Linked DNA regions of Styela clava. The protein of the gene in region 3 purifies or fractionates together with the protein of the main gene of each other region. This does not show direct contact. Links are inferred from orthologs where the notes say so. Each region holds a gene or a part of one and is shown on either strand. Other genes may lie near its edges.

Region 1 (3,758 bases), on a different chromosome or scaffold from region 3:
GCATGCATCATACACTCTTATATTCCCATTTCTTAAACCAGTCCATATTTGATCTTTTTGTACGCTGAGGGACATGGCGAAACTGGGACTTTTAATCTGAAGTAAGAAACCAGAAACTCTTACATCATAGAACTACGACACTATCCTCAACTCTCAAGGATTGGGAGTGGTACAGGTTGTATATTCGTAGCTTGGGTTGACTTTGGAATAGTGTCAAAACATTTTGAATAGTATTTCCACATTTGATTTACGACCTTCAGTCAACTCCAAATTCAGTACATGCCATGTTTAACTATGTTCATTTTGAGCTCTGCTCATAGAAATTTACGATTCTTAATTCTAACCTGGGAATGGGAAATGAGCCCATATAACAATTTTTGAAATGGCAACGTTTTCATGTTCATGACTTGTTTACATAAATTATTTCAGCATTAAAGACTTAATAAACCTTGTACCTAATATTTGATGTGGATTTTTTCACACATCTTCATTAAGAAATTAACATTCACCTCTTGAAGAACATTGAAATTTCTTTTATCAAGAATGACAAGTAATCCATCTTCACCAGTTGAAACGATATAGTTATCATTTGTTTCAACTTTCAAAACTGCCTTCCTATGATGAATCATTGAATGTGATACACCACTACCTGTAGGAATGTTGGTACAACAGTGATCGAATTTGAGTTATTGAATAATTTAACATGGGATATTATCATATTACACAGGGTTTTTTATCAGTAATTTCTTCAGCGAGGGTTATTAAGAAGACCGAAGAAAGCTACAAAATTTTCAAGTTGGGCATTCTATTGGTATTGACATGAGCACTTTTAGCCTCGCGTCAATCCGTACCTACAAACACATAATTCTTCACTAAAATGATTTATAATCTTCGTAGCCCTTGGTACTTAAGCCGCATCTGTAATTTTGCTCAAAGATTAATCTCCTATGATTATGAGAGAGTGTGAGTGACATTACTTCAAGCATGTGAAAAAAATACATATCTTCAAAAACAAGCTGTTAGATATTAGACAATTTTAATTGTAATCTGAAATACAAAATCAGAATTTGAAATGAAGCTGATAATAATAATAACAACTTATTCAAACCTCACTTCTGGTATCAACAACAATTGTCTTTTTATTGTAGCAGCCTGCAATCAGTGTATTATCATCGATATAAGATGAACAAAGTATTGCAGTTCGTGCGTTTACTGATTGTATCATATTCAGTGTATCAACATCCCAAAACTTCACAGTGGAGTCAAATGATGTACTGCAAAATTGGTTTCCTTGCGATGTGATTGACCATACCCAGCCCTGTATATTGTAAAAATATGAAAAATACCTACATATTATATTCGAATAAATAGTCAGCGATTCGAGATGCCATGCCGAATGATACTTACGTTATGCTGCATCAAATTCTTGTAATGCAATTCGTTAGGTTTTGCACCTATGTTCGATCCTGGTTCTGGATTCAATTTCCAAACTGTTATGCTTCTATCTCTTGATCCGCAGATGCATAGAGATCTGTTCTGAAACCAAGTTGTTATTATATGCTTTCATATACCATAAAGGATAACAAAAAAAATAATGACTAAGACAATAAATTCTAAATAATTTTTTGAGTTTTTACAAGATACTTCCGAGTAGAGAGAAATCAAAATTGTCAAATCAGGGTTTTATCAGTATACCAGATTATTATGATGAAACTTCACAAAAGTGGTTTTCAAACGGTGGGGGGGGGGGGGGGCGTAGAAAATTTTTTGAGGGGACATGAAGGTAAATTTTTCATAAGGAGGATGCATGTAAAACCTTTCAATATACCTTCATTAAGTGAACTGCGTCAGTTGCAAATCCACTTGTTTCGCTCAAAGTTATCATGTTGTTGTTCATATCCAAACCTTTCCATGTCTTCTCACAGAGTTCTCTCTCTTTACAAGCTTCTTTCCACGACAAATCATCTCCTATAAGAACAAAATATTGAACAAAGGCTTCTGAAAAGTTGAATTCAAATATTTCATTCACACTGGAACATAGCTAAATTTTCACAACCGAATATATACAGAAAGGCCCCAAACTTACCCTGAACTATTGGAAATGGTTGAGGGAATCTTTGAAAAAGACGAATTCTCCAATACTTTTCATTTGAGAGTAAATTCTTAAGAAACTGGCATACATCGGACACAGTGTTCAATAAGTAGTCAGCTTCAATATAGGAAAAAATATGTAACAAAACTTCTTGAGGTAGTTTTAACAAATGTGGCTTTTGATCAATTTCTTGAGAAGAGCTAAAATCCATCATTTCCCCAACAACAACTGCTGCAATTGACGTCTGCTTGCAATCACAAGGTTCTGCATCATCTGGAGTTTCCATGACCAAATGCTTAGATTCAGAGATTGCAGGATTAGTAATGTTCAGTCTTTTGTCTTTAACGATCAGAGGCAGATAGCCTGAATAGACAGATACAGGGCAGAATAGCAGAACAATCTCACACTGCGTTGTCGTTGGGAATGAAAGTAAACACAGAAACAAGGCAGACTACTAGACTATAGGCTACACCAAACGGCAAAACTCTAATGAGATAACCAATTTACTCATATACCATCATCGTCAAACGTGCAGTAGAATCGTTAGACTCAAACAAATCAGTACCGGTATTCAGTAGTCTTAATTAAGTCTACATTATAATAATACACAATTTTCCAAATGGTTCGAGTACAATTGCTCTACTACGCGACGCTTCGATCAATGCAAGGAATACCACAAGCTGCTACGGAATGTTGCACAAACTCTCTCTCAGGAAGACTCTAAACAAGATATGACTCACACAATGAGTGTTAGTAGGGAAAACAATGGTTTGTATTAGTTCACCACAACATGAAATATAGCACAGCACTTCTCACGGAGGGTTTACGACATTCATATTAACAAGGCTCTGGATAAGAGGAGACTGATATATTTGGCTCTACTATGCTTTCGGAACGACTGAAAGCTTATCGTAATGAACTCTTTGTAGTAATTATATTTAATTGGAATGCTTGCCTCTATTCTCTTGTGGACATGGATTCTGCAGCAAATAATAGAGTAACTCTTCAAGAAAATATACGAAATTTAAAATAATCAATATTGTGTACGCATAAAACCGCCCAAGTCGAAGGCCATTTAACACTCTACCCAGCGTTATTTTAATAACCGTGACACATGATTCGTATTACTCACACTTATAAAAAATAAAAATATATCCTAACATATAGACTCCAATAACAATGTGATTGTATGATGTGACACCACAATAGAATTTGTCAGCATAAGTATCTACAAATAAAACGTTGTTGTTTTTGTCTTTTGTTAGCCATTTACAGCATTTTTCTTGACAAACGGCTTATATATGTCTCAACGCGGTTACATGAACACTATGTACTTCGTGTTTATTAATTAAACAATGAATATCGTCAGTTTTAAATTTTCTACAATAGCACAATCTCGTCCTTGAATTGGATTTACTTCGTGACTTCGAGTTTTATCTTGCTAAACATTTTGTTTAATTATGCGCGATGTCGATGTTCTCGCGGTTTCAACCCAATCATGTTGTCTGGGCTGTTCATAATTATGGCCATAAAGCAAAGCGATGAAGTATTTCGCATTGTTATTTTGCCACCTCTTCCTCTTATAGACAATCGAAATTTCAATTCACCGAATAGACAGATAGGCGACAGATAGTACTTAATATGCACTTCATACAATTAAGGATGA
Region 2 (3,758 bases), on a different chromosome or scaffold from region 3:
TAAATGAAACCAGCAAAAATTTTGCTTAAATACGGGGTTCCGTAAAAAAATATAAGTAACAGATTTCTTATAGCATCATGAGTATGGTTACTGTTGGGGTTCATTGTAGTCTGCGTCGACAAAATTGTATCAAAAAAATTTGATGGTAGGGAGAGCCATGCGTTTTCTAGTCAAGACATCATTTGAAAAGTAAAGTTACAAATGGAGGTAGTGCACGATGCATAATTGCTCAAACCTTCTGGTTCACTCGGAATTGATAGATAAATTTAAAACATCCTACGGTTTCACTAATGCCTAAGTTACATTTAAAGTGAAATATTCAAGCCCTGTTTGAAATTCATTGGATGCAAATTTTTGCAGTAAATTAACCAAATATGCGGGATTGAACCACTCAAGATACGGCGATCGATCACGTTGGCCACCTCTGCACTATAAATAATATAAGGTAACCTTGTCATTGAATTGAATGATACTATTCTGCATTCCTACACTTCAGACCTATGTATTTCTGTCAGGAACATGACACAGACTTCATACGACCTTTTGCTCTTGCGCTGCTCAATAGTCTATGAAATGACTTTGATCGCCATATTTTGATTGAATTATCATCACTTACACTCACAGCCATGCTGGGATCACGAGGGTTCAAAGCAACACAATTAACAACATCCACATGTTTGAATGTGGAGAGCAAAACTCCGTAATATCTATCCCACAGGTAACCTTTGAGATTTTCTGATCCACTAGAAACATACAAATCATTACATGAAATATGAAGAAAAAATACATCACTGAAAGCTTCATGTCCTTCAAATGTAGCAATTTCCTCCATTGAAATCAGGTCTATTAAACCCATAGTAACTTTCGATGAAATATCCCGAGCCCAATGCCGAGGTGGAACTTCTTCATCCCATTTACGTACATTCACATACAAGTATCTTCCGCAAGGAGTTATTGACATACCCACCAACTGACCACCCATTTCGATAACATGGTCCCAGTTGTCAGATCGGACTTGAGGTCTCCCTTGTAGATTAATCGAATCAGACTCAAACTTTTGCCGAATGACATCAGTACACTCTTCTTGCTCAATTCTTTTGATTCCGATTTGATGAGGAACATTGAAGTCGTTTCCAGTAAAACATAAAAGTAGTTTATAATGTGAGGGTGAATTAATAGGCTGCGAAGCTTCATCTCCGGTTGTCACTTCTGTTGATTCACTATCATCTCTGTCTAGTTCATCATCTGTCAGCTGAGGACTTGCTGTTTCAGAAAATAGATTGCTGCTGTCTGTTTCATTTTCAAAATCAGTGATACATCGCTTAACAGAAGGAAGCAAAACAGACGATTCCTCCTCTGTATTCAATGATGTGTGATCATGAGAGACAACACTACTATCAAGCTTTATCTTTTTACAATTGCTAAATGTTCCTTCATATATATCATTGGTGACTCTTGCACTGCAAGATAGAACATTTTCATCACATCTGTCAACAATTTTATCACTTTCTGATGGAACGTTGTTTTTGTCCAAAGAAATTCTCACAGTGATTGAAGACACAGTTTCTAATGGAGTGGACGCTTCATGATTTTTGCAGGCATTCATTGATGATTCTGCTTCCTTAATGTATTCTTTATGTTTGCCAAATGCTTTCATGTGCATATCATGTATTTTTCCTTGGTAACAATCATTAGATACAGCCCTATAAACTTGTGATATAACCTTTTTCATATCAGCCACTTGAAGATAACTCACAGTGTTGTCATTTTCACAAGCAAACATATATGCACGCGTTACCGTCGAATGCATTAGGTTTTCTATTTCCTGACTCGATTTGTTAAGAAGGACTTCACACAGACATTGGCGACGGGCTGCTAGCAAATGAGCTCTTGCAGACAAGATATGTGTTTCATTAAGCCAAGTTCCCATTACATCAAATGGCTTTATTCTCACCCTTGCCTGTAGAGTGAACTCTTTAATAAAAATATTATATATAATTATTTCTCCTCCTTGTTGAGAGCCTTCACATCTTCCAGAAACTAGAAGTTGAGTATCGCTGCTACTAAATTGTGAATATTGAGTATAAAGCCACCTAAATTGGGAACTTCTCCCTAAATGTTCATTGAAGATTGTGTCAAATGGCCAGTCTGCACTGAACACCTTGACTGATGCATCTTTTGAACATGTACAAAACATCATACCATTATTTGAAAAAGCTACATGTAAAACTTCATCATCATGCTCAAGAATTCTTTCGAATTCTACACTAGGAACAAGATCTACCATTCTCTGATATTCTGATTTCCACGACATTCCATTAGGTCTTAAATCCATTTCACCTATCTTGAAGTCAAGGCGAAATCTTCTTTGCCACAGAAAATTTAAATTTCCGATCTCAAACCATCTTTTACAAGCTAGCGAGCAGCATCCAAGATCTTTGTAGCCCAATAATTTAAAAATTTGAATAAGTGGTTCTGTAGGAAGATATTTCCAACCATGGTGCAAATTTTCAAATTTATTTTTGTTGCAGTTTCCAGATTTCTGCTGGAAATATTGGTCTGTACCCATTTTTGTCTTCAAACTTTAGAAGTCTGCAGACATCACAAATTTAGGTCAGATTTATTTCATTTACAACATATTACGCTAAGAAAGCAACATATTCACGTGTAACATTTTTACTTAGGCTACATAGTTTATTCATTAAAACAAATGTTTAAACCTTACCGGTACTGCCTCAACCTGTCACTCAAGCGTTAGGAATACACTCACCACCGTACCTCTAATTACTCTGCGTGGGTTCGCAGGTTCGAATCCCATGCAGGGATGGTTATGTGCGAGAGTATTGCTGGACTCCTTGCCGTCGTTGGGTGGTTCACGTAACCGCTGGTCGGTTACGGCTTCCTCCACCACCAAGTCCATGCCTCCGAAAACAAACAATATAACTATTCGCTTCCCTGACTTGGAATGGTAACCGGACGAGAGGCCGCGGTTCGCCATACTGCCATATGGATAAGCCGTCTTATCGCCTTTCCTCTCCCCCGGGATAAATATGTAAATCCTATCCTAAGATTTATTATATGTATGCGGACATTGGAATATCATTCGCGGTGGTTATGGCTCATCGTGCTAAGAGTTAGGAATACGCTCGCCACCGCACCTCTGATTACTCTGCGTGAGTTCGCAGGTTCGAATCCCATGCGGGGTTGATTATGTGCGAGAAAATTGCTGGACTCCTCGCCGCCATAGGGTGGTTCACGTAATCGCTGGTCGGTTATGTCTTGGTCCACTATCTGACCATCAAGTCCATGCTTCCGAAAAACAAATAACTAACTCATCCTGTACCCAACATGGAATGGTAACGGACGAGAGGCCGTGGTTCGCCACATGGTTAAGCCGCCTTATCGCCTTTCCTCTCCTCCAGGATAAATATGTGAATCCTATTCACTTAGTACAGCTGTACAGTAGTGAAGTCCAAATAAAAACCTAATTTCACAGGCACAAATATGGGATAGTCATATTGTGCTTCAACTACATAAGATATTAGAGAATATGTATTGCTATATAGAGTTACACTCAATTATATTTACCTATTACAGTAATTTATGTTCGCAAACAACACCGGATGTATACCGGTACGGTACTACTATGTTAGACCTATGTTTTAATGAGGAATATTGTTGTTAATATAATGACATTATATAACTTAAGTAATTTGAAGACATGTTCATATAATAACATATTTGTAGAACTTCTTAAC
Region 3 (3,758 bases):
ACCCTAACCCAAATCAATCAAAACTGTAGGTGACCGTACATTTGAACCCACGTACATTTGAACCCATGTGTATATCCCCGAGTTCAATCTATATACAGGTGCTACCCATGGGTTAGGGTTAGTATGGATTCAAATATCCACAAAACAAAAAAAATAGTAAAATAGTAAAATAGGTGCAATAGTATGCAGGTGCAATTGTCGTGGGTTCAAATGTACGTGGGTTCAAATGTAGGCCTACGGGAGCCAAAACTGTATCCATAAGTAAAACGTTCCAACTTGCCCAATATTTGTCACCATGAGGAGTTGTTCGCCATATGATTATTAATCCGTCTTTTTTATCGGTTTTTCCATCCCCCGTGATAAATATGTAAAATCCTATCCTTCACGATCCTGTAACATAGCACTTTACGACAGTGAAAGTGAAGTTTTACAACAGACTTGCGGTGTGTTGTTTGGTGCAAAGTCACTTTGGTCTGGTGTTGCTACACTTGTCACGTGACGCGACGTCCAGTAGGCTGTACTTGCCGAAAAAGCGTTTGTTCTTCGTTGTTATGAACCGTCGAAACTGCGGGCGCGTTTGTCGTTTTTCTCGGCGGCCGTTATGTATCTGCATAATGATTACCGGTAGATTGTTTGTACGTACTCGTATTAATGTGTGTTTGTTTTGGTTGGAATATTCTAAATATAAGTCTGTAAGTATACCGGTACGATGTTGACAGAGCATCCGCGGTCGGGTCGTCTTACGAAACCGGTACCGGTACGGTACCGTACGCAAGAACGACCTAATCTAACATTGACACTTGACAGCCTGGAAATCGCTTTCTGTTGGTTTGCTGGTGCGAAGTAAACGCGATAACTGCTTGAATGATACCAAATAAGAATGTGATGTAGAAACAGTACCGGTACTGGTACCGGTACCGTACCGATAGTTGAAATCTGTATTTGATTACTCCGCGAGGGTTCACGGGTTCGAATCCCATGCCAGGATGATTACCGTATATGCGAGAAGATTGCTGGTATCCTCGCCGCTGTAGGGTGGTTCACGTAACCGCTGGTCGGTTACGGCGACCTCCACTATTAAGTCCATGCTTCCGAAAACAAATACGGTACCGTAACTGGCTAACTAATCCCATACCGGTATCCAGATATCCGACATAGTCTGAAAGAGGTCAACAGATATCTGGATATTAAGTCTATGCATCTGAAAACAAATAACTGGCTACCGTATCTAATCCCCATGGACTGGTACGGTATCCGGACGAGAGGTTGTGGTTCACCATGGGGTTAAGCCGTCTTATCGGCTTTCTGCTTCCCCGGGATAAAGATGTGAATCCTATCCTAAATTTAACTCTGCAACTATGGACAGAACTGAGCAGCATAATAATCAGACAACTTAACAGTCGTTATCTGGTAGACATTTCTGCATTTATATTGATTCGAGGACAGCTAATAAATCGTACTGGAAACATTAGGTACCTGTTTCAATATAGTCTAGTACATGTTATGAACTTTTCATTTTGTAATTTCAGGCAAATATATTTAAATAAGCGAGTGATATAAATAAGTGATATCAGCAAAAATGCCTTCCATCAAATTACAAAGTGCAGATGGAGATGTTTTTGATGTAGACATTGATATTGCCAAACAATCTATGACCATCAAGACTATGTTGGAAGATCTAGGAATGGAACCTGGTGATGACGAAGAATCAATTCCATTACCAAACACAAATGCCGCAATCTTGAGAAAGGTGGTATATCATAATTATAACTGGGTTTTTTAATTAATTTGTAATATTTTTTCATATGAATTTTTCTGTTTTTGGTGCTCCGGAAGTATACGTACGAAGATGGCGGACACCGGAATATAGTATGTGTACCAGGTTAGAGTTAGGCAATAATTTCAGGTACAAATACTACGGGAGTCACTCGGCTAGTCCTCGAACTCGTAATAGCACTAAAATAAGAAAAATTGGAATAAAATTATGGCCTTACCCTAACCTGGTACACATAATACATTCCGGCCACCGCCATCTTGGTACGCATACTTCAGGAGTACCGAATTTTTTCTGTGAAGGTTTCAGCACTCCTTTAGCTTCCAACTTATATTTGAGCAAGTTAAATTCAATTTGTTACTGTCATATGGGCTTAGCGATATAATTGGTGGTGTATCATCGATAATTGATATTACTGTATTATTGTAGATTGATATAGGATAGGATTTACGTATTAATTACGAGGGAAGAAAAGCCGATGACTCGATCGGATAGCAAACCACAGCCTTCCTACCGGTTACCAGTTCATATCGGGTATGGGATTGGTTAGATGAACTTGATGGCGGATAAAGCCATACTGACCAGTGGTTATGTGAACCATCCTGCGGCAGCGAGGAGTCCAGCAATCCTCTCGCACATAACTATCGAGTGGAAGTGGTGACTCCTCTACAACCCATGGGCCAGGGCCACGGCCCATCAGGCTATGGGCCGCGGCCCATCAAGTTGTGTAAAGGGATAAAATAATAAAGACTAATAAATATGTAAATTCTACCTAAATCCTACCCACTCCCTGAACTCATAATAGAACTATAATGTCTGAATATGAAAAATCTGAACATAATTTTGTCCTAACCCTAACCTGGTACACACACTTCAGGTGTATCCTTTTCTGTAGCTTGGTATTTTGCTTTATTTTTATGAAAAGGCTTATCGCAGGAAAAAGGTTTGGTGGCATGCCGCGATTTTTGTTTGGTTCCAATATTGACAATTTTGTAAAAATTGAAAGTTTTCTGATGGGCCGCGGCCCATAGCTTGATGGGCCATGGCCCATGTGGCCCAATTAGATGGGCTGTGGCCCCGGCCTATGGGCCGTAGAGGAGTCACCACCCCTGTAGTAACTATCCCCGACAGATTCGAACCTAGGCAGGGTAATCGGATGTGCTGTGGCAAGTGGGAATTGCTAATTCTTAGCATGATAAAGCGACGCACCGCATAAATAGGCTTACATTCTCACATTTTGGCTTAGTAACTATCCAGGCCTAGTCATTATCTATGCATGTTTTATGATGAAAACATTTTTTAACTCTTGATTATACTAGATGGTACTGGAGTAATGTGGGCGTAACTGGTTGATTATATACTATTTGAGTTGTGTATCATGAGTAGGAAATGGGTTTTTGAATAATTATAATCACCAATTAGTTTTATAGATCTCAATCTGAGTTACTCTTAGTGGCTAATCTATTCTCTTGTTAATTAAAATTGGTATTTATCTCAGATTAAAGTTAGTTAGTTAAATCAGTTAGTTAATAAAAATGCATCTCTAGTGTACAAAACAAAGCAATGTGAAATACATTTTCCATCTCTTTTATATAGTTTTCTTCTGTTCTGCACTGTTTCTTCCTGTTAAGTGTTATCATCGATTCATTGTGTTGTCAATTCAGTCTTATTCAACAAAAAATTTATTTTGATGTTGCAATCCAGGTATTACAGTGGTGCACACAGCACAAAGATGATCCCCCTCCACCAGAAGATGATGAAAATAAGGAAAAAAGAACTGATGATATCCCGGTTTGGGATCAAGAGTTTTTGAAAGTTGATCAGGGAACGCTTTTCGAACTCATTGTGGTGCGTATTAATTGTCATTTGTTAGTATAAGTTATTTCGACTCCATAATCAGCATAACAATAAAATTATTGATAAAAACAAATAGATAAAAACTGAATATGAAATCAGGAAAGCAAACAAGACCTTAGATAAGGCT

What was found.
Region 1: the proteins of S-phase kinase-associated protein 1 (region 3) and F-box/WD repeat-containing protein 9-like purify together in Homo sapiens (affinity purification with mass spectrometry; 6 studies listed by BioGRID and IntAct, with this or other methods). This does not show direct contact. The link is inferred for Styela clava from reciprocal best matches to the Homo sapiens genes SKP1 and FBXW9.
Region 2: the proteins of S-phase kinase-associated protein 1 (region 3) and F-box/WD repeat-containing protein 5-like purify together in Homo sapiens (affinity purification with western blotting; 16 studies listed by BioGRID and IntAct, with this or other methods). This does not show direct contact. The link is inferred for Styela clava from reciprocal best matches to the Homo sapiens genes SKP1 and FBXW5.

What each region holds. Positions count from the first base shown.
Region 1 is NC_135255.1:10,472,131-10,475,888, forward strand, and holds the start of F-box/WD repeat-containing protein 9-like, read right to left. Parts: upstream 2,739-3,758; 5' UTR 2,379-2,738; coding exon 2,087-2,378; intron 1,969-2,086; coding exon 1,829-1,968; intron 1,537-1,828; coding exon 1,408-1,536; intron 1,319-1,407; coding exon 1,114-1,318; intron 650-1,113; coding exon 510-649; intron 97-509; coding exon 1-96. UniProt on the Homo sapiens protein: Substrate-recognition component of the SCF (SKP1-CUL1-F-box protein)-type E3 ubiquitin ligase complex.
Region 2 is NC_135255.1:1,742,272-1,746,029, forward strand, and holds the start of F-box/WD repeat-containing protein 5-like, read right to left. Parts: upstream 2,756-3,758; 5' UTR 2,570-2,755; coding exon 512-2,569; 3' UTR 1-511. UniProt on the Homo sapiens protein: Substrate recognition component of both SCF (SKP1-CUL1-F-box protein) and DCX (DDB1-CUL4-X-box) E3 ubiquitin-protein ligase complexes.
Region 3 is NC_135260.1:7,447,053-7,450,810, reverse strand, and holds the start of S-phase kinase-associated protein 1, read left to right. Parts: upstream 1-1,527; 5' UTR 1,528-1,579; coding exon 1,580-1,750; intron 1,751-3,478; coding exon 3,479-3,622; intron 3,623-3,758. UniProt on the Homo sapiens protein: Essential component of the SCF (SKP1-CUL1-F-box protein) ubiquitin ligase complex, which mediates the ubiquitination of proteins involved in cell cycle progression, signal transduction and transcription.